Linked DNA regions of Caenorhabditis elegans. The protein of the gene in region 1 interacts with the protein of each later gene in a pairwise test. Each region holds a gene or a part of one and is shown in the gene's direction. Other genes may lie near its edges. The genes, in order: hinf-1, gldi-8, pax-3 and egl-13.

Evidence for each region.
Region 2: the proteins of hinf-1 (region 1) and gldi-8 interact in a two-hybrid assay, tested with the Caenorhabditis elegans proteins (one large-scale study listed by BioGRID).
Region 3: the proteins of hinf-1 (region 1) and pax-3 interact in a two-hybrid assay, tested with the Caenorhabditis elegans proteins (one large-scale study listed by BioGRID).
Region 4: the proteins of hinf-1 (region 1) and egl-13 interact in a two-hybrid assay, tested with the Caenorhabditis elegans proteins (one large-scale study listed by BioGRID).

Annotation. Positions count from the first base shown.
Region 1 is NC_003279.8:14,789,424-14,794,950, forward strand, and holds hinf-1 (C2H2-type domain-containing protein), read left to right. Parts: upstream 1-1,616; 5' UTR 1,617-1,634; coding exon 1,635-2,040; intron 2,041-2,497; coding exon 2,498-2,944; intron 2,945-3,059; exon of another isoform or gene 3,060-3,148; intron 3,149-3,296; coding exon 3,297-3,718; intron 3,719-4,002; coding exon 4,003-4,119; intron 4,120-4,205; coding exon 4,206-4,439; 3' UTR 4,440-4,983; downstream 4,984-5,527. Other genes in the region: F39B2.3 (15-oxoprostaglandin 13-reductase), read right to left, coding at 1-59; uev-1 (Ubiquitin-conjugating enzyme E2 variant 1), read left to right, coding at 848-851, 910-1,055, 1,105-1,374; mrps-27 (Ig-like domain-containing protein), read left to right, coding at 5,476-5,527.
Region 2 is NC_003281.10:12,595,485-12,600,711, reverse strand, and holds gldi-8 (C2H2-type domain-containing protein), read left to right. Parts: upstream 1-2,027; 5' UTR 2,028-2,183; coding exon 2,184-2,285; exon of another isoform or gene 2,286-2,546; coding exon 2,547-2,777; intron 2,778-2,823; coding exon 2,824-3,546; intron 3,547-4,330; coding exon 4,331-4,567; 3' UTR 4,568-4,718; downstream 4,719-5,227. Other genes in the region: epc-1 (Enhancer of polycomb-like protein), read left to right, coding at 172-238.
Region 3 is NC_003280.10:10,144,766-10,152,602, forward strand, and holds the start of pax-3 (Paired box protein 3 homolog), read left to right. Parts: upstream 1-1,804; 5' UTR 1,805-2,082; coding exon 2,083-2,124; intron 2,125-2,554; coding exon 2,555-2,652; intron 2,653-2,697; coding exon 2,698-2,794; intron 2,795-3,492; coding exon 3,493-3,676; intron 3,677-4,085; coding exon 4,086-4,160; intron 4,161-7,190; coding exon 7,191-7,480; intron 7,481-7,539; coding exon 7,540-7,680; 3' UTR 7,681-7,837. UniProt on the Caenorhabditis elegans protein: Transcriptional activator. Regulates the lateral/ventral epidermal cell fate decision.
Region 4 is NC_003284.9:5,662,279-5,666,878, forward strand, and holds the start of egl-13 (Transcription factor egl-13), read left to right. Parts: upstream 1-1,558; 5' UTR 1,559-1,632; intron 1,633-2,086; exon of another isoform or gene 2,087-2,226; intron 2,227-4,209; exon of another isoform or gene 4,210-4,402; intron 4,403-4,600.

The DNA of each region.
Region 1 (5,527 bases):
GCTCCGAATCGTCGGACTACAGCTGCGCGCATGCTTGATTTGCAAATCGATTTGCTCATTGTTCTAAAAATGGCACTTATCAGTAATATGAAATGCGTACTCGCACTGATTAGGCGCACGGATTTATTCGGATGGGTCTCGCAGCGAGAAAAATGTTATGGTAACACTTTGTGGCGGGACCAATCCGAATCAAACCGTGTACCTTTAAGTACGCGTTCAGAAAATTGCGAAATTACTATATTTTTGCAACTTTTGTTTCATTTTTCCGTAAAAGGTTTGAGTAAATGTTTATCAAATTATCGACTTTTAGACTATTTTTAGTGTTTTAGCAGAAAATCTCTGAAAATTCGACAAAATTTGATTAGAATTACATAACAAAAAACAATTTTAAAAAGCTAGGACATTGATTTGCACGGGAACTCAACAAAAAATCAGAAAATTGATTTTCTTTTAGCAAAATTGAAAAAAAAAAAACAATTTTTAGCAGCTGTGCCTTTAATACAAAACAAAGATTGAAACGATGATAACCAATATTCAATTTTTATAATTTTTTTTCGGTCGCAAACAAAATTGTCATCATTTTCTTGTGATTTTATTGAACCCAAGTGTTTCATTTCAATGTTCACAGATCTTGTCCGAGAGGACTACACAGTTAGCCTTAGCAAACGCGCTCCACTGGGCACTCACACAAATCGAATGAGCGCGCGGCAAACGAGCGTCAAGCCGTGCTAGCAGGCGGATTGTCCGACGAAATTATCGATTTTTTCTTGATTTTTCGGATTTTAAAGCAAATTTCTTTGTTAATAATTTCAATTTTCAGCGTTCCAGCAACTTGGGCACTTTCAAAATGGGTAAGTTCGCTTTCTAAATTCAAAAATGATTATTTTCGCATATTTTTCTCTTTTCCAGTCGATGTACCACGCAATTTCCGTCTGCTGGAAGAACTTGAAGAAGGACAAAAAGGCAAGGGAGATGGAAACATTTCGTGGGGTTTGGAGGATGACAGCGATATGACTCTCACCAGATGGACTGCTTCCATCATTGGTCCACCGAGAGTGAGTCAGCGGAATTAATCATTTTTTATTATTAGTTTTTTGCTTTCAGACTCCATACGAATCGCGAATCTACAATCTGCAAATCCAGTGCGGCGGGAATTATCCGCGAGAGCCACCAACCGTTCGTTTCACCACCAAAGTTCACATGGTGGGAGTCAATCAGAGCAATGGAGTGATTGATAAGCGAAATTTGACAACACTTCGCAACTGGAGCAATAGTTACATGATCAAGACCGTGCTCGAGGATATCCGCAAGAACATGATGATGGCCAAAGAGAATCTGAAATTGCAGCAACCGGCAGAGGGCGCCATGTTCTAAATTCTTTTATTGATTTTTTGTATACCCAGTTTACTCTCCCCGGTAGTAGCTTTCCCCTCGAACTTTTCCCCCACACTTTATTTATAATTATTATATTATTCGCCATTCAATTTCCATGTAAAATTTTAAAATTTCAATGTGATTTTTTTATTTTTTGTTCTTCATTTTTGCGTAATTTTAACGCATTTCATACCTACCTGCTCAATTACTGTCTCTTTCGAGATTTCAATCATGTTTTTCAGATTCAATTATCCTAAAGTATGTCATATGCCGATTTGAAACCAGTCAAATTCGATTTCGACATTCAATATCAACCATCCAGCCAGCATCCTCCGTACTATAATTCGTTTGGAATTGCCGAGCCGGATCCCCGTCATAATTTGTACGCACCAACAGCACCACCACATCATCATCATCACCACCATCAGCACCAGCCACAACAACATTTACATTATATGATTGATAGTCAAGACTCAGATAGTCAGGATTCTGTGGACTCTTTCCGTACACCTGCACCGATCTCGTCTGCAACAAGGTTTTCTACTCACACTCCTCGAGCTTCCAGAGCGTCGAGTAACGATTCTGAGAGCGGAGAGCTTAGCGAAGAAGTTATGAATCATTGGTTGCCAATGACTTGGTGTGAACGATCGTCGGATGATCCACAAGGTAATTAATATTCAGATTTTCGACAATGAGTACTAACGGTTCGGAAGATTTTGAACGTATATGCCCAATAGGGGTACGCATTTTAATTTCAATAAATTCTGAATTTTCAGTAGAAGATACATCGTTTAAAATTATTTAAATGTGGCTTATATATTTCGGCGGTGCTTCGAATTTATTTATAACATTCAAAAATATTGAATTTCAGAGGTTTTACACTGCTTTTAAAGTCAAGAAATTTTTTGAAAATCGGGCTACAAAATGATGTGTAAAACCTCTGAAATTCAATATTTTTTGAATTTCTAAAATGGATTCGAAGTATTGCCAAAATATAAATATAAGCCACATTGAAATCAATTTCAACGATATATTTTCACATGCTGAACCCATGGTCGCGACGAGGCTCAATCTGATCCATCACGCCAACTTTTGTTTAAAACTAAACAATTTAATTTTTCAGTTTTCACATTCGTCTGCCTATGGGGTCAATGTGTGTCTAGCTCGTCGAGCAAGGACGAGTTCGTTGATCATTTATTCGGCCACGTGTCAGTAATCGAGGAAGGAGTTCAAAATGGGAACCATATGAATACTGTTCAGTGCAAAGTTCGCGGGTGCAACAAGCATCTCGATTCGATATTCCAACTCCACCGACACGTCTCAATGCACGTATTCCAAGCAGATTGTCAGCAAAAAGGATCAGAAGCACTGATTGAAAAGGAAGATTATATTGGAATAGAGAGTTGTGGTTTTGAGCCATGTACAAATATTAATTATGAAGGAATGCTGCTGAATTGTCAATGGGAGGATTGTGGAATGCCGTTTAACTCATTAACCGAACTGTTTGATCATGTCGGACATCACATTGATGGTGTTGGCGATGTTGATAGAATTCAACAGAATTTTTCGAGTGAGTAAGGATTTCTGGACAGTGACAATTAAATTTCCTGAAGAAATTTGTTTTCACTTTAAAAAACTGAAATTTTCATCGAATTTTTTGTTTAACTGGACAACTTTCAATGCCGGAATTTATTTCTTACTTAATTATCGCCCTGATTGCAGATTTTGGTCTGTTATTTCACGATTTTTTGTTGATTACGGTGATTTGTATACTAATTGACTGAAAAAGAATTTTCATCAACGAAAAATCGTGAAATACGACCTAAATTTGCAATTGAGGATGATAATTAAATAGCATCTAATTTTCCGCTCAAGATTATTCCAACAAAAAATTTCCTTTTAAATTCTAATATTCTACACAGATGGCGACAAAAAAGTGGTGTTCCCGTGTAAATGGACCGCCTGCACACAAGTTGCCGATTCAAAAGCCAATCTCCGACGTCACGCTCGTCACCACAGCGGTGAGAAGGTGCTCGCGTGCCCATTCTGTGCTCGATTCTTCTCCCGACGCGACAAGCTCTACGATCATTGTCTCCGACGAACAATTCTGATGAAGAACCCGGAAATGGAAGATCCGTATCTATGCAAACTGTGTCAAAAGCGATTTGGAACTGAAAAAGCGTTATGTATGCATGTTACACGGCATTTAGTCAGTCTTACGTGCCCACTATGCTCACTTGGATTGGGTTGCCGAGCAGAACTTCATAGGCATTTAATGACAAAGCATTCAAGACGATCCAAAGATTTCAAATGTGATACTTGCAGCAAATTGTTCTTCACAGAGGTAAGAAAAATATTTTTGTCGAATTTTTAGGAAAAATTGTAAATGAATATCAATTTATCAAGCTTCAGGCAATTTTAGATTTTAGTTCAAAAAAATGTCTTATGGGCTTTAAAATTGCCCAAATCTACCGAATTTCGTAATGAGACATTTTGAAAATTTCTCAAATTTCTACAACAAAGCTCATTTTCTGCTAAAATCAAAGTTTTTGCCAACTTCTCGGTGTCGCAGCCTTTCGAACATACTTTTTATTACAAAATATTTTTAAAAAATTTCAAAATTTTCAGAGTGAGCTCAACCGTCACGCTGTGTACCATTCTGACGTCATGTACAGTTGCAAGCATTGTCCGGAGAAGTTTAAGTGGAAGAAACAGCTCATGAAGCATATGAAAGAACATGATGAGGTAACCGGTGTTTTTTTTTCAGAAAATCGATATAAGAAAACTCGTGGATTTATTTTATTCTAATCGTTTAATCATCCGATTTTCAGAATTTCAATCCATCCCCATATACATGCCATTTGTGTGACCGAACATATACTACTGGATTTGCATTGGGACGCCATTTAACCCGTCAACATCGTCTCCAGATACCCTATGGATTCAGTCGTTTTACTTACAAAAAGTGTGCCGATGGACTTATGCGACTTCAGACGAAAAAGTTGTTTAGAGGAGAGTCTGGAGAGGATCAAGCCCATCACCACCATCAACATGTTCCATATTAAATGATTATTAAATATGTTAAATTGCCCTCACATAATTTATCCACCTTTATGTTAAGGAAGAAGGGGGATTTCGCTCAAAAATACCACAGAAGCAACTATTTCTGAATTTCAGCTCACTTTTTTGTGGTTTAAAGCGAATTCCCCTATTATCCACACCTCTCATTTTAATTATTCTCTTTCAGTAATATTCTGATCTCTACCCCTCTCAATCGCATGCTTTCTTTTTTTTTCCACCAATTCTTACCAAATAATCGCCTTTTTTGTTCTATTTATTATGCTTCTATCTATTCGATCTCTCGCTCTATCCATTCTTTCCTTATTACTACACCCCTCTCACCAAGTTGTCTTACAATCAATCGATCGATGCCCCAATTCACTTTAAACACGTATGCCACGTGTCTTCTCCCACAAACACATTTGATATATACTTGTACTGTTTGCAAAATTTTCAATGTTCTAATTTATAATTTAATAATTATTTCCTTTTAACTTTGGATTTTTTTTTTCAATTATCTAATCTGAAATAAATATCTACACGTATTGTTGGACAATCAATTTGTCTCTAAATGCGGTATGAAACCAATTCATTATTTTCCAAAAAAAAAAAAAAACTATTAAAATAGGCGATTACAAAAGGAAATTTATTTAAATTCTGGAGAATTGAAAATTTTATGACTACTGAAAAACTATTTACTGATTTTCCGAAAAAGTCCAATTTTATTTTTGATGCAATTTTCTATATTTTTCTTAAAAACTGATTGACATTCTTTGTAAATGAAAATTAAAAAAAAAAACTGAATTTCTCGATTTTCAACAAAAAAACGACAAAATATGTAACTTTTAAGAGTTAAATTTCAATTTCTCTGAAACAATGTCAGAATGTTTTTTCTTTCTAAAAACGGTGAAAAATTATCGAATTCGAGAACTTAACTTGATTTCGAACTTTAAAAATTCAAAACATACCGATAATTGCCGGATTGTTGAAAATTTAAATTGCTAATTGTAAGACCCCAATAAAATAATATTTCATCTTCAGATGCTCTCTAAAAACCTTCTTCGAACTTTTATAACTCGCCGAAATTTCCAAA
Region 2 (5,227 bases), on another chromosome or scaffold:
TGAAATTTTCAGAAAATTCTGAGTAGCAAGAATCTTTAAGATCCTTAATTTCTATGCAAGAATACGTAGGAGTTTTACTTTGCTCAGGAAATTTTATTTTTTGTCAGAGGAGTATATCCGAAAAAGAACAAAAAAAATGCACATTTCTCAAAACGCGTATTTTTTTTTCAGTTCGATGTCAACGGTAACACTGCTGGAACGGAAAAAGTTCATGATGCCGTCGACAATCGGTCTATAATTTGAACTCTCTGCTGCTGCTTCTGCTACTGCTGCTACTGCTGCTCATCGCCAATTTTCAATCCTCCTGAGATTTTTTGATGGTCATTCATTGTTTTGTGCATATCTCTCTCTCTCTCTCTCTCTCCCATGATTCTCAAATATTTCAATGTATTTACACCCCCACTCTGTCCGCTGCCTAATCCCCGACCGAATAATCAGATTCGCTGGAAAAATCTGCGATTCTTTAATATTGCAACCACCCACCCAATAATATGTGTCTCATCATCTCGGTACTCTCACTTGAGCCGTGTTTTCTGTAGTATTTTATTCTCTAAAAAAAAATCATTTTTAATATAATATACGTACACATTTATATCTGTAATATATATTTTTAAAAATGATTCCCCCCTCCCCTCCATTCGTTGTTTTTTTTCTGTGGGTTTCAAGCTTTTGAGCTGTGAAAAATCTCATCCCATCATCATTTTCTATTGTTTTTTTTCACAGTTGAAATATCCTATTTTATCTTTTTCCTTTTTTTTTCATTTTTTTTTTTTCATCGTGCGGGATTCATTTTTCGTCCCGCGAAACGCCCGCCGCCGCCCAATCCCACTCTCTCTCTCAGTCTCTTCTTAATGATCTTCGAAACTATTTTTATTTCCCTCATTAACAATTACGAGGTCGTCTTTTTTTTTCCCCACCCCCCACTGTTTGGTGTAATTTTTGTGTTCGGGGAGGTTTTTTGTGTGTGGATTTTTGGATTTTTTGGATTTTTTCAACAAAAAATTCCCCCGAAATCAAAATTTTTTCCCATTTTCCCCTCAATATTAGTACTGTTGTATAAATAAACTTGCTCTCTCTCTCTCTCTCGAAATCTCCTACTATTATTTTTTTAAAAGATTTTTCCAACAAAAATTCAAAAAACCACACAAACGACCTCTCTGCACGCGGTAATCCTCTCTCTTTTTGTCCCCCATTTTCTCTGTTTCTCTTTTTTTCTATCCCCTATACCTGTGATTGGAATATCCCATTTTTCCAGCAACAAACCAGCAAAAACAAAAAAAAAAAACTTGAAGAATTTCAAAAAAAAAATGACAAAAAAATCATAAAAATCAAAAGAACCTACATTTTTGTTGCATTTTATAGACACACACACGCACACACACAAGCAAACAGACATAAAAATTCAAATTTTTCGAAAAATTAAAAAAAAAAAAAAATTTCCCTCCCAAGGCCACCTGGGCGCCAAAAAGATAGTGGGTGGCCATGAAAAGTGCAATACTTTTTTGAAATAAAAAATAGTGTGAATATCGGAGAGACGCAGAGAAGAAAGGTCGAAAAAGTGAAAAAAGAAGAATTCTTTGTTCCCTTTCGTTTTTCCAATCCAATTGAATAGGACTTTGAGATTACTGTAGTCCAAAACTAAGGTCCCCGGGGGTCTCGACACGAAAATTGTTTTTGTTAAATGCGGAAAAAGGTATGCGCCTTTAAGGAGTACTGTAGTTTCAAAAAATTTGGTTTTTTCTCCAAAAACAGTTTTAAAAAAATCGAATTTTTTTCTTTCTCCAGTCTAAAAATGTGTTTTTAAAGGTGCACAATATTTTTCAGATGGGTATCGGCGCGCAAAAAAAGTTAATGGTAATAGTTTCTTCAAAATTATATGCGGTTTTCAGAGAAATTTTGAGTTTTTCTTTTAATTATATCAAATATTTGGACGAAAATTTAAAGGATTAATGCACAGATCCATTTTTTCTTCCTTTTTTTACTAGAAAAACTATGTAAAATTTTTTTTTTAAATCGCAATTTTCTCCAGGTATACGGTAAGCAAGTCCGCAAACACCGAAGCATTGCTGCACGCGTCGCACGACCGCGACGCGTCTCCCCCCTCTTTCGTCACGCGCTCATCGATTTTCGAAGTGAACACACAACCAGTTTCGTCAATTTTCTGCGCTATTTCTTCATTTTTAATGGAGATTTACGATTATCCAATGTCGTACGCTGATTTAACTCCTGTGACAAGCTGCTCATCATCGTCAAATTCTGAAGCGGACGCTAACAACTTTTCAACGGTTATCCTTTATTAAAAAATGTCAAATTTCTTTAAAAATGGCTTTTTTTTCGATCAAATCTTGTGTTTTTTCGGCAAACACTATTCGAAGCCATTGGGTGTGTCAGTGACAATGTTTATCCTCGAACAAAAATGTAATTAAACCAATTAAACCAACCAAAAAAACTAAACTCAAACTTGGGAAAATTAAACCTACTCAGATGCTTTATGCTGAGGTCTTCTCACTACCGCCGACCAATTTTACTTATTTTTTTATTTTCAGAAGAACAAAAATGTCAATGAATTCCAAAAACTCATTGAAGAATTGGAATTTGAGCCGGAAGACCGAAGAGTTCCCGAGGTAGCTGAAGAAGTTGAATCCGAAGACGAGGAAGAGGAAGATGTCCAAATCAAGTATCCTTACGAACGGAAAGACGCTTATCAAGACCTCCAAGAAAGGATCGAGCGCAGGCTAAACGATTCTGGAGATGAGAAGCTTGAGCAGAAGGCGAAGGTAAGATTATTTTTTTTTAATTTGCAACTGAAACTTTTTATTCCAGGAACTTCAATCGCTTATCCGAATGAGCCAATCACAATGGAAAGTCGAGCAAAAGCAACAGCTGGAAGATTCTCTGTTGAAGCCACACACTGCTGGATCGATTTTCACTTGCGTTATGTGCTCGAAAGCATTCCCGAACGCTGAAGCTCTCCAGATTCACACTGATCAAGTGCATGATTTGTCTAGATTAAAGCATCGTTGTAAGCTGTGCGGAAAAGCTTATAAGCGCAAGAAGAACCTTGATGCTCATATGGCCCTCCATCTCAAGGAAATCCAATGCGACAACTGCTCACTGGTCTTTCAATCTGAAAAATCGTTGCAAAGTCACATAATCCGGCATCATCAAGAGGATGCGGATGAACTTGAAGTATGGAAGGCGCCGTGCTCGATTTGCAAGGAGCTATTCCCATCAACATCTGTCAAAACTCACGAATGGTACTGCAAGAATAGGGAGAAAATTATTGAAAAACAGCGAGTATCGAAGATTCTGAAAGTACAAAGTTTGCCGTCAAGCCCAGCTCTTTCCACCGTCAGTTATGCATCATTCTCAAGCTGTCAGCCTGGGCCAATCACAAGCCCAGTCTCCTATAGGGATAAATCGTGTCAAGTGTGTGGAGAGAGCTTCGCGAGCCGACAATCAATGCTCCGGCATGTTGGTAGAAAACATCCAGATGCCAAGAACGATCCAAATGTCACGGCTGTGAGATACATTAGCGCTGAATCGGTAAGGATAAGAATTTAAAGGTGGACTACGCTCAGTGGGGAAATTGCTTTAAAACACGACTATGGTACCACAATGACCGAATATCATGATAAAAAATTCTAGATTTTATATTATTTTTTGAAAATTGAAAAAATCTCGAATTGCATCAAATTCCCATTTAAACCTCCCGCCAAGTGATTTTATCGATGGAGCGCGCTTGCTCGTTTTTATTTTAATTTATTGTTATTTTTTCTTATTTTTCGCCGATTTTTCATGTTTTCAGTGTAATTTTATGAGAAATTTGAAGAAAAAGTCAAAATAATGCAAATTCTCGATTAAAAATCAACTTTGCAAGCGTAAAAACGAAGAAGTACCACTTTTAAACGATTTGGAGCCAGTAGTATTTGATTTCACAGATTTACGCTTGTAAAGTTGATTTTTAATCGAGAATTTGCATTATTTTGGCTTTTTCTTCAAATTTCTCATAAAAATACACTGAAAACATGAAAAATCGGCGAAAAATAAGAAAAAATAACAATAAATTAAAATAAAAACGAGCAAGCGCGCTCCATCGATAAAATCACTTGGCGGGAAGTTTAAATGGGAAATTGATGCAATTCGAGATTTTTTTTCAATTTTCAAAAAATCATATAAAATTTTTAATTTTTTTTTTGAATTTTTTTTATCATGATATTCGGTCATTGTGACCCCATAGGCATGTTTTAAAGCAATTTCCCCACTGTCGCTACTCCACCTTTAATGAATGAAAATTTAAAATTAATGAATTAAAATTTAAAATTTTCAGCCCAAGCATCCATATGCTTGCATTGAATGCGGAAAACGATTCACAACGGTCACCGCTTTGTCAACACACAAGGCTCGTGTTCATTCACAATCCAATCGCTTTGAATGCACAATTTGCCACAAATCCTATCCGGTTCCATCAGAATTGAGGAAGCACATCAAAAGAGTTCATGAGAAGGATGCGCCCAAATCTCGATCAGCATTGGAAGAATTACCGGAAATGGACGATATTTTCTAAATTTCTCTAGATTCAAATGTTCAAGATTTTGCTGTAATTTTCCCACCTCCCCCCCCCCCTTTATTTTCAAAATACCGGTCCGAACGGGTTCCAACCGAGTTTACTAGATATTCATGTAGAGATTTCAACACAATAAATGAATTAAAATGCGTGAAGCCTATTCCTCTGCAAATTAATTCCAGCCAGCGGATTTCAAGCTTGATGACATTGAAAAATATTGGGTAGTTGTCTCACCGAGAACAGGCCTAGTTTTACGAACAGGCTTAATATTAGGATTAGGCTTTGGCTTAGAATTAGGCTTAGGCTTGATTTCAGGCTTTGACTAAAGCTTAGGTTTGGGCTTAGGCTTGTGCTTTGGCTTAGGCTTTGGTTTTGGCTTTTTTTTTTTTTTGGCTTAGCTAACGCTCCCCCACTGACGCTATGTAGAGATTTTTCATATATTTTATTAAAATCAGGGCTTCGCCCCGATTTTAATAAAATATATGAAACCCTCTTAAAAAGTTACAAGAAGGTTTTTCCTTGCGCTTGGAGCGCAAAAGAAAAGAAAAAGAGCTATTTAGACTTAGGGTGCCCAACTGGAATAAAATATAGGAAATCCTTATGACACACCGGCGGTATGGCGCGGCTTAAGCCTAAATAGCCACTTTTATCAAAATACAT
Region 3 (7,837 bases), on another chromosome or scaffold:
TGTTTCATTTCAAACAGTGTGTGCCTTTAAAGTGTTGTATCATCTATTTGAGAAATTACAATAATGACATAAGTATTGTAGAGTTTAATGAGACACTGTAACACGGTGGCTGGGACAAACTCTTTTCACATTTTGTCAACAAACTCCCGCACTCAGCCCATCAATTCTCCATAGATGATGCCCTTTTCAGATAGCGGAAAACCCCGCATCATCATCATCTCACACTTCTCCGGATAGATAGATAAAGATATATCCAAGTGTTACAAAGGTGTGAAGACCCCCAAAAGTTGACATCGGCGCGTGGCCCTTAATTATGACCGCATACCACTTCAAACGATACCGCCACCGTTTCTTCGTCCCCCTGATAACATGGTCCCAGATTATCAGGAAAATGGTGTAAGACAACCTTGCGCAATCCGGGAAGATGAAGAAGGAAATGATGATGTGACACGTGCCGAAAAAGAAATTGGGCCCTACTTGTTGATTGGGTAATGCACGTGTAGTTTTCAGGTGTTTTCGGTATTAAAAGGCTATTTGTATGGGGTAATAAAGGATTAATGACTAGGATTATTTCACATTATTTCACATATTTTCACGTTTTGTTTCTAACTGAAACTCACAAATAATTCTCCAATTGTGTAGTTTAGAATAGATTTATATCTTTAGACACCGTCGGTAAACAACTAAAAATACCATTATTCATCTCAATGACATAAACTTTCCCAACACGAGCCCTCCCAAACACCGACTCGCTAATTGCGAGCAATTTATTGATTGACAGTTCGCGGATGAACTTGTTTTGCACATTGTAGATCGAGATAAGACAAGTAGGTTCTTAAGTCGGGCCGACACAAAACAGATAGGTCTAAAAGAACGTCTGAAATTGAATAATCAGATAAGACAGAGTAAAGGGATACTGAAAAAAGAATAGTTATAGAAATACTTGAAAATCTGAATGAATAGAGGTGACAACTATTTTTCCAAACTTACAACTAACACTGGTCTCAAATTACAGATACATATATATGTTAGTTTTTTCAGATTTCAAATTAACCTACCCGTAGGCTGGTAGGCAAGAATGTAGTCGATCTTTGCAAAGTCATATCTTTAAATTTCTCATTGGAAATATTTGTACCGTATCCTCGAAGCACTTTTCCTCCTGACCTCTTTTGTTTGTAAAATATGTTTACACTTTTGAACACTGGAAATGAAAATGGGGAAATTGGTCATTGCCAACAAGTTACACTACTCTCGAAAGTTGTCTGTTTGTTCTATCTGTTCTTGTTTCCGTGAAATTGCAACTTTTGGAATATGTATGTTTTTGGTAATCAGAAAATTATTTTTGTGTTAGGTAAGTCCAACAAATCACATAATCGAAAAAGCAAACAAAGAAAGTAAACTTTGTCTGAAATCCATTAAGAAGCTGTTTTCAAATATTAGTAGCATGAATAATTCTAACGCTGTTTAAGCTTTTAATGGACATGAACGATTTTTAAAGTTTTGAAGTATTCGTTTCTGGTTCCAGTTTCATGTTAGAGTTACTTCTAGCTTCACCCAGAAGCACGGTGGACTGCTTAGATCTATGTAGCTATCTGCAAATATTTTGAATCTGCAAGATCCGCACGCTCCTAGATGTCCTTTTCTTCGAGACTATCCACAGGTGAATCACCATTTTGCAGGTGCTACTACCAAACATTGACCTTTCAAATCAAAACCATCGAGCACATAAATCTTCATCTCCAAAAATCCACCTCCTAGTCAGAATATCTCTGATAACAAACCCACATACCCCGCGCCAACATCTACTAGTACGTCCTTTGATGCTTACCGCCCGTGTCTTTCGCCCTTCTCTATGTCTCGCTGGTTTCGATTACCGTACTCGAGACTATGCATGCCTGTAACAGACCGCGCATGCGCATAGGTGGGCGGGATCGCCGTCCCGCCCATTCACAGTTCGACAAGGCGTGTCACCTCGAAACTACTCGCTCCTTAAGTTTTCACGCTATATACCTGATATTCACACATTCGGTATATTGGGGGCCAGCCATACGTGCTCCTGATATCCCATCCACTACTAACAAAATGACCACAGATTCTATCACATTTAATCACATTCTTGGGCAGGTAAGTCTATGGTTTCGATAAGTTGTTTTCTAGTTGTAGTGCATAAACTACTGCTCAGGTATTTTTTAATGTCTAGAAGTAGGAGATGTATCCCGGAAAAATTTGATTGAAGAAATTTTTGGAAATTCTAGATGGTTCTAGAATGTACGTTAATTTCGAATTATTTCTATACTGGCTCAGACGTTTTAAGGAGCTAAAATTAAGCTCTTGTTAATTATACAGTTTGAAGTTGTAGCCTATAGAAACTTTTGATTTATTGTTAATAGAGCTCATCAAGCATCACAAAAATTAGATAGTATCATTACTATAGTTAGCCTTAAGTTAGATTTTCATAGCATTTGAAAAGTTTTTGAAAATATGTTTTGAGTTTTCCAAGTCTCAATTTCTTCTCCTTTCTCACCGCCTCTATTGAAGCCCAAAATTAATTCAGGGTCGTGTTAACCAACTCGGTGGAGTTTTCATCAACGGTCGACCCCTTCCAATTCACGTTCGTCATGCTATCATTTCAATGGCCAAAAAGGGTATAAAGTAAGTAGTCCGAACTTCTAGAGAACACTAACAATAATCTTTTAGACCATGTCACATCAGTCGTCAACTCAAAGTATCTCATGGAGCTGTTTCGAAAATCTTGAATCGTTACGCCGAGACGGGCTCAATATCTCCGGGACAGGTCAGTGCATTTTCTGGATGATAAGATAATTTGCTAATTAGGTCATCAGGCAGGCGAATCATAACCATAAAATTTAATGTTTGCCTACACGTGCCGCGTGTCGTCGTCCTGATTCAAAAAAGTACCGTAATACTCAATTTTGGCGGGTCGCGCAGGTGCGACGCCCCGGGTGGCACTTTTCGGCATTTTTCAAAAAATGCGTCGGATGTCTGTGTTTCTGTTAAAGTAGTTGTTGTCTACTAGGTTTTTGGTTACCAAAAACATACGGTAATTACAATTCCAAAAAAAGTAAACTTTGAATTCTTGAAAATTCCATTTTGTTGGTTGCAAAACGGCAAAGAGTGTAGAACGGGGAGTGCAAATATACAAAACAATTTTTATTCATTTATAAACTTTAAAATCATCTCAAAAACAACCTGAAACTTTCCAAGAACTGATATCAAAACGTTTTCGGCAAATGACAACTTTGAAACAGTTTTTGAAATTTTTCTCGACTATTTCAATGCAAATAACTGATATTTTCAAACTGATCAAATATTTTTCTATCTATATTTCTACATTTAATTTAATAAAAAAAAGAGTTATAATCTGGGATTGGGCAGTTTTGTAGATTTGCCGAAAATATTCGTCATATTTCTTACATAAGCCTAGCGAAAGCAAATGCTTTTTAAACATAAATATCTATGAATTAATTTCAGATCGGTGGAAGTCCCCGCGCTCGACTTACAGTCCAAGCCGTCGAGAAAGAAATTCTGATCGCATGTGATGAGAATCCACAAATGAGCGCTGCAGAGCTCCGAGATTGGCTTATTCACAAAGACATTTGCACAAAAGGAAATGCTCCAACAGTACCTGCGATAAAAAGGCTTATTGGGAATAAAGGTATAATAATGATGAAAACTGTGAAGGCAAAAAAAAGGTAGAGGAATAGATGAAAAACAAACAGAAATTCGTTTCGTTTGATGAATGTTCCGCTTCTGATAGCTGTGGTTGTGTTTGTTTAACTGTTGACAACGATTTTTTTTGTTTCGAATACTTTCATGGAAACTTGCTTGGGCGTCATTTTTTGATGCGTGATTTTCCACAAAAATTCAACAAACCTCACAAGAAGAACTTCTAGACATATTCGATCAAATTATCACTTTCTATAACCTCATCAATCATTTCTTCACGCCAATCATATCATCTTTTTTGCTGCACTTTTTCATCATATCTTCCTTATCACTTTTTTTTGTTTTAATTTCCTTATCAATATTTATCTTCACACAAATCACCACATACTTTTTTGCAGGCGTCGGGGTTCCGAAGAAAATGGAACGAAAACGGCTGAGCTACAGTATCGACAGCATTCTGGGAATTTCAATTGGTAAGTGGTCTAATTGGAATAGTCTTGATTTCACACATTTATAATTTCGTTCCGTTTGTCTCATGTCCTCCAACACCTTTTTTGGGTGTCGGATTTCCTGTTCAATCAGGCAACATTCCGTTCTTTCAATTCAATTTTCTTCTGCCATATAGTAACACACAAACAGACGTAGCATGAAAGTTTTCATTCCTCCCAATATTCCCAAAGGGGCCAGAGGGCATACTGTATATTGGACTTCTTTGATATAATAACGGTCATTAACACTTTGATTAGTATCGCCTGTATGTCGCTGTGTATGTTAACGGTGTGATAAGACGATAAAGGCGAAGACGTTGAAGAAGTGGGGGCGGAAAGGACAAGAAGCGTCGGTGAAGAATGATGTGAATTAGACAAGGGGGCACGCGTCAGGGGTTGATTTTAATCAACAAGACCATCGTATTTGTTTGTGAGTTGCATGCTGTGCGCCGCCACGGAGATCTTCAGGGAGAGAACCATGACTGATTGAATTACGGGTTACGGTAGTGTACCGCATTTTGTTTCTCCTGATCTGCAACAAGCGTACCGGAATGTCCCGCGTGTCTTCAGGCCTACCTGTTAGCTTGCCTACTGCCTATTCGTCTACATCTTGGTGTGAAGTCTAGGGTCTGATGTTGCATTGTGAAGCCTATAGGTAGGTCGCCTTGATGTCCGGTAAGCAGGCACTTTTGATCCTAAAATCTTGTTTGATCTGTGCTCAGTTGTTAATCACATTCGGTAGGGTACGGTAGTTGTGCAAGAAAATCGTAATCTAAAGAAAGAGCATGTCAAATTCCAGGCATCATACGCCTACCTTGTAGGCACGCAGGCAGGCATTTTTATCATGTTCGGCACTCCAAACAGTTTCATTAAATCTTTGTCTGAAAATTCAAGTTTAACAACAGCTTTGAGACTGTTTATATAGAACGAATAAAAGTGAAATTTTTGGTTTTTAAAACTTCCAAAACTTTTAGCCTACTTTTTATAAGAAACTAGACAGCCACAAACTTATGTTTTTGCAAGTTACTTGAATTTCTAGGGGTCATGCCACTACCTCCTGCTGTTTCAACTTCTTGTCTTCCAAAACTTTCAACACTTCCCCTCTCTTCCTGTCCCGTTTTTTCCCGCTTCCTAACTTGTCGTCAATCTTGTCATTCCTTAAATTGTGAACCACCGCTCAACTTCGCACATTTTCGCATACACGTAGCAATTAAGATAGGGGGAGAAGATTTGCGCACTTGATAGGTGCCTATTCAAATAGGTAGGTAGGAGGAGGAGAAAACGATCCAATAAATTCCATATTTTCGCGGCCAATTGATCAGGATGGGCACACGAGTGACTGGCGCGAGAGAAGATTGGGATGCGCGAAAAAAAGCAAACACATGCATACGAACATAATACATATCCGCAATTTAACACATTAAAACTTTGACATTTGACATTTGACAATATGATTGTTAGGGATGTGGGTTACGGTATGTTGCGCAAGATCGTTAGTAGGTGTTGGTCAGCTTGCCTGGAAGGCAGGCAGGCATGACAGATCATTGTGAGCTTGTTTATTATCAAGTTTTTACCGAGTCCGAGTTACCCTCTCTCCACCACAAACCTTGAACCAAAGTTTGAACTCGGCGGTGCGGTAACGTGATTTTTCAGAAATTTCCCGAATTTGTCAGAATACTTCCATGATTTTCCACATGTCTATATTTCTATTACATTCATAAGTAACAAAAATTAATATTTTCCAAAAATAGGTAGCCGTTGAAAACACAACGCAACGACTGATATTTAGGTATCAGAGACTGGAGTGATAAAGTTCCAGGTGAAAAAAGAAATGGAAACAAAAGTTTCTTCTTCCTGGAATACGCTCAGAATACATTGCTCAATGGGAATATATTATAGCACTCCCCCGCGCCGTTCTTAATGAGCATTGGGAATTATAGAACGATATCGTTAAAAACTACAGTATGCTTAAGGGAGAATTCATTTTTGAAAATCTTACTCTACTCGGCAAGTAGCTAAAGTTTTCTGCAGACTATTACCAGAAAGAGGACTAAGTGCGGTAGAAATCTGCTTTGATTTGACAAGAACGGATGAAAAATATTAATGAGATAAAAGATCAAGTTGAGCATCCTTGAAATCGACATTCTTCAAATTAGAACATTGTATAGAAATAACCTTACCTTCCTTCCTTCCGTCACTATAAAATACTCCTGTGACAGAAACCGATTAGCGCACAGCTCATAAAACTTGGATGTGAGAAACGACGGTGATGATGGAGTGATCCGTCAAAAAATGGAACGATAAAAACAAATTAATAGGGTCCATTCCACCACATGATATCTCTTTCTCAAGTACACAAAGGTGTCAAGTCTATAAATTAGAAGAGACACCCCCCCTCCCCCACCCGCAATAGGGTCTCTCCCGATCTTTATCGATTATTTTTAGAGAAGTGTGTCTATGCGAGAGGCCTACGACATGACTGAGACCACCCACTGTGGCGCAACATTATATATAGTAATTGGGCGACTCGACTGGCAGGCCGTAGTCTTTCTCTGTTAGATACCTTACAATTGACTCATTGATTTCCGGATTTTGAGGGAAAATGCTTGATAGGCGGGGGTCTGATTTTGAATTTTTGAAATAGAACGTATGCGGAACTCAAATAATTTTCAGTCTCGAGGCAGGCGAGTCCGGAAGCCTTTCAGAAAGGCATTTCAGCATGCTCATTATTCATTAGAGCCTCCCTGGTATCAAATATATTCTAGTTGCAATAGTTACTTCAACTTTTGACGTCGCATGCTATTGAAAATGTTTGTTATTTTAATTACGCCTGGAACATTTGCCCTTTCGATTTTCAACGGATGAAAAAAATGGCAGATGAAAAATATTAGTTCCACATTTCGAAAGTCTGTATAGAGAGAGGATGTATAGAGTTTGTTAATGAAAATTCAAAAATGCATTCACGTACCCAAAAATGGTAGCTATGATAACCCCTTTCAAAAAAATAATTTTCAGACGAATGCAGCAAATCGTCATCGGATGACGAAGAGGGCTCTTCACCATCAAACGACGCATCGTCTCGTCGAAATCGTACATCATTCACTGCCGAGCAACTAGATGTTCTTGAAAATGCGTTCCGCGCAGACACTTACCCACATGCCAACGCCAGAGAGAGCATTTCCAAGGAGACAGGGCTCAGCGAAGAGAAAATTATGACGTGGTTTTCGAATCGGCGAGCAAGATGTCGGAAAAATATGCCAATGTATCAACAGTACAATGTTCAAGGTTTTGGATCATCTCCGCCGGTTAGTTAGAAATCGAAACTATATATTAGAAAACAAATTACTAAAACTTTGATTTTCAGTCCTACCCAACGCTGCTGCCTTCACCGATGATGTTCCTACCCTCCTACTCAACGAGTCCTCAATTGAATCCGTTATTCTTTCAACACATACTCCAATCAAGTCCCCCATCAAGTCAATCATCTCCGCCATCATCAAGCTAAACGCTTTGAACTTATTTCTGAACTTTCAAATAAAACCTGTGATATTTGAAAGTCGATCAGAAATTGATACACAAATTTAATTTGAAAGTCCAGAATTAATTTTAAAACATTACCTTAAGAATTCACCCATTCTTCCCAAAACTTATCTAAATCTCTT
Region 4 (4,600 bases), on another chromosome or scaffold:
CAGTATTTGAGTTTGCTTAGAAAATCGGAATACTAAATGTCTCAATCTCAAATTCAAGTTCAAGCATAGATCTAAAATTTTAACATTTCGATGTGTTTTTTCAGTTCTTGTGTTTTTAACAATTCTAAATATGCAAACCTATTTAATTTACCTAGTTATTCAGGGTGGTTAATAACTGTGTAAGTTCACTTGTTTTAATATCTCGTTCCAAAAACAGAAACGTTGAGTTACTGCAAAGTGGTCGCCATAATTATGGGCGACTCTGTATATTCTTGAACTAGAAAACCGTATCTTTACGGTTTCATTTGTGATAGCCTTTTGACCTTATTTTATATAGACTTATATAAGAGTTCGTATACTCTAGGATTTTGTTGTATGTAGTAACTAAGATTTTTTTTAATATTCCAAGTTCCTAGATGTCATAACCTCTCACTATAGTTAGAACTTTTTGGCCTACTTAAAATTTCTAGGCTATATTGAAATACAATTTCAGTGTGTTTCAATATTCTTTACTGTCAAAAGCTAAAATGTCCACCTAAAATACATTATGATTGATTCCCGTCCTCGTATTGCGATGCCCTCTTAGTCTATCATAAATGCATTTCCGAATCTTCGAAACGAGGTTGAGTAGGTGCATTGTGTCAACTAAAAGAAACATTATGGAATTGTTGCAAGTGGTTCTCGACCTATTACCATTTCGCGTTCTTTGGAAAACTTTTGCGCCATTGGTCAACACATCCAGTTCTGAAGAAGCGCGGGTCCCCACCGTGTCTCTCCGACAACACACCACCACCACCCACTTTGCAGAGAAGAGGGCACAGTGTGTAACTTATTGTGAGACGATTCAGAGGACAAACAAATTGCGTGGTCAGTTTTGTTTTCAGGTGGGGTGGTCACTCTCTTTCATTCTCTTCATTGTGTGATGGAACACAACTACCTTGAACCACTTGTCTGATACCAGTTCCCTCTTCCAATCACCTAGACAACCAATACCAGCTTTTTCCTGTTTTCTCCCTCTCTCTTCTTCTCTTGGTTCAAAGTTTGTTGTCTGAAATTGCCAGTTCAATTGGGTCACCATGTCTGAAACTAGTGACCAATGAAATTTCGTGAACAGTCCAAAACAAAAAATTAATACCATAGGCTTCCTTGTGGGACAACTAGTTATATTTTCTGTTTGACTACTGAACTTATGTTTCTCTAAGTGTTGCTTTCTACTTTCAACCAAACATTTTTTTTCTCATTTTTCCATTTTGCCCCCATCTTTTATTCACTTGAACCTTTTCTCTTTTCTTTTTCTTCTTACCCTCAAAGGACAAATCGTGAGACTATCCTCAATTGAAGAAAAGGAATTTCTGATATATATCTGTGCAATATCTTTGTTCTCCTTCATAATTCACAATTCATTCAGCGCGTGTGAATCGTTTGAATTAATAATGCCACTGAACTCAAATAATCGGCCTTTTTAAGTTTCTCTAGTTTCAATTTCTAACGCTTTTGATTCTTCTTTTTCAATGTTTTCTTCAGGCTTGAATTTACAAACGCAAATTTAAAATTCCAGACACTCCAAATAAAATCAATACTCCATAATACTGCTGGATCAGTAACAACAATCTCCCGAATGGCTCTATAGTGGTGAGTAAGAACTAGTTTCCGTTCTAGTTTCTACTGTGCCATGCTCTTTCCCCTTTTAATGTTGTGAGCACTGTTTTGCTTTTTCATTGAAATAACAAAACAAGTAGAACAAGTATTTGCACCAGCAAGCATCTGGTAAGTATTCTCTTCCTCACCAACTTTACTTTTCTCACACTTTTGCCTATATTTGCGCATTTGGAGCAAGAGCAACACTTCCAGATTTGGTGACAGATTTCAAAGAATTATTACTTTGTCTAGTCTTATTTTCTCCTTGTCGTGTGCCGTTGTTGATCATAATAATAGTAGGCCAAATCGCCGCACCCGTCACTGCTCATGATCCCTTTAATATCCTAGCTAACTCCGAGTTTATCATCATGTGCCTCCTATGGGCACTGCCAATTCCATAAATAATTGTTTTTTCTTCTTTTCTATCTATCCTTTGTGTTATCCTTCTTCTTCCATACTTTACCTTATCAAATATTCATGTATTCTTGACAGACTGTAAGGGATAATTGGAGATCTCGATGATGAATTATCCTTGCTCTTGTGTTTGCAGTTTTGGTAGGGTGTATATGTCAATTATTTCTTTTGAATACTCTATTGAGAATCTATTGAAACCATACTCTATTCAGCTTGAGCTTCAAGGGAGAAACATGCGAGTGATCATTGACATACTTGATTGTAGTTAAAAACCGCATTTTCCGTATTAAACTTGCACCCCAATGGATTTACCTCGTATATCAGTCTTCTTAAGTTTTACCAAAAAATTATTTACTGTTGAAATGTACAAAAACATTTTGCACATAATTTGCCAACCGAGATAGAAGCTGTCAAAGTAAAGCAATGAGAGTACAAGACTAATACATTACAACTAACGTCTATATCATCCCTTTTCTAATCTGGGAGTTTGGTGCTTCCAAATTATTTTCAGAAAAAAACGTCAGCACAGTTTGATAGCAAATGCTGCAAAGGATATGCTCCCCCAGTTTTATGATGATACCTGAAAATTAAGTAAAAATTTTGTAAAAAAAACATTCATCCAACTTCTATAGCACTCATCGGATTTTTTGACAGGGGCCAGTTCTCGGCTCCTCATAATTTTCTCGTTTATTGTTAAAATTTCGAACTAAACTTTGAGATATAAGTTGTGAAAATCAAGGACCATAGGTTTTCAACATTTTCTATTGAACTGTACTAACACCTTTTCAAAAAATATTTTCAAAAACACCAAACTCTCAAATTAGTGGGGTGGTGCTATAGACGTTGGGCACACTGTAGAGAAATATTTGGTGGTATATTAGGTCTCCAAATAAGTTCCGGGTCAAAAGTCATAACTTTGTTCGCTGCGTATCGATTTTTATGAAACTTTGGGAATTCATGTTATCAACTATGATCTTTCATTTGACAATAGTCACAAAATTTTTTGACCACCCCAAGTGCCCTAACTCGGAACCAATTTTTTCAGGCATTTTTCTGATCTCGCTTCTTTTCAAATTTCAATTGAGGTTCATGGTTACATCATTTTTGTAGGAAAAATCTAGAATTTTCGACAAAAAATTTTTTTGAAGATTTTTTGACGACCAACCAAAAAAAATTTTTTTGGACGGATTTTTTCAAAACTTTTGTTGTTTTCTAATAATGTATTCTAAACAAAGAAAAATCCGCACACAACCCTCAATTCAAAGCTGAAAATAAGCGAGATCAGAAAAATGCCTGAAAAAATTGGCTCCGAGTTAGGACACTTGGGGCGGTCAAAAAATTTCGTGACTATTGTTAAATGAAAGATTATAGTTGATAACATAAATTCCCAGAGTTTCATGAAAATCGATACACAGCGAACAAAGTTATGATTTTTGACCCAGAACTTATTTGGAGACCTAATATATTTGATTTACCTTTTTTTGAAATCTTTCTTATTTGTTGTGCATGAGACTTAACTTTTTTTTCATAAACTTATCACACAACAATTCTTCGCAAAACACTACAATCGAACATCATTCCTGCTCATCAAACATCTGCGCTGTCCCACTGTCCCAGTGTCTCATCGCTCGTCAAGCCTATCAACATTTTTTGTCCCAAACTAAAAGTGCAATGAGAGCTCCATTGTATTGCACGAAAAGTTTCTCAGTTTCTCAAAAAGTGTGACATCGAGAGAAAAAGAGCACCGTTGTTTCGAGGTTCAGCCGCCACAAGAGCCAGTTGTCACCGGCGCCCCGGATACACGGAACAAAGCCATGAGACGTATGTTCTATTAGGTGTTCAACTATTGCTAACCTGTCACCTGCCCCGACATTATTTGATTATCTATTGTCTCGTTAATTGATGGTAAGTAGAGTGTGTGACACCTTGAGAAACGATTCCACAAATATCACCATTTTGAACGTGTTGAAAATATCCGTCGAACTAACGTTTGTACTCGTAGTATCACTTTTTCCTATCCGTTTTTCGTGTTTGAAATCTTTGATAGGAAGATAAGACACAGGGAACCCCGAGCTCTTGATGGAACAATGCCTGCCAAGATGTTTGTCAATTGTTGCATCTTCCTGGAAGACGACAAAAGTTCCCCCGTTTTTCATCTTTTCGTCCCACTCTCATACGAATCTTGAACAGAAATTGTTGCGAAAATTTTTTCTTTCAAAAACTGACCTCAAATCAGCGGAAGGAGTCACTTGTCACACTTGTTCTTCTTTTATATATCACACTTAATAACACCTATCTTTTGTTGTCAAACCAAAACGGAGCTCTTGTAATATTCAATATTGAACGAACATTATGCCCTTTCCCATTTGACAAATAGGCCTTGATCCATCCTGCTCTAGACTATAATCGGCTTAACCAGGCCTTGCTCATAGATTTCGATTCTTAGCCCCTGTTTCCTCCATCCCCACAACAACAAGTTATCCAAGGGCAACATCGATGAATTGTGGAATTTGATACTAACGGTCCCGCGGGAAGGTGAAATTGAAGT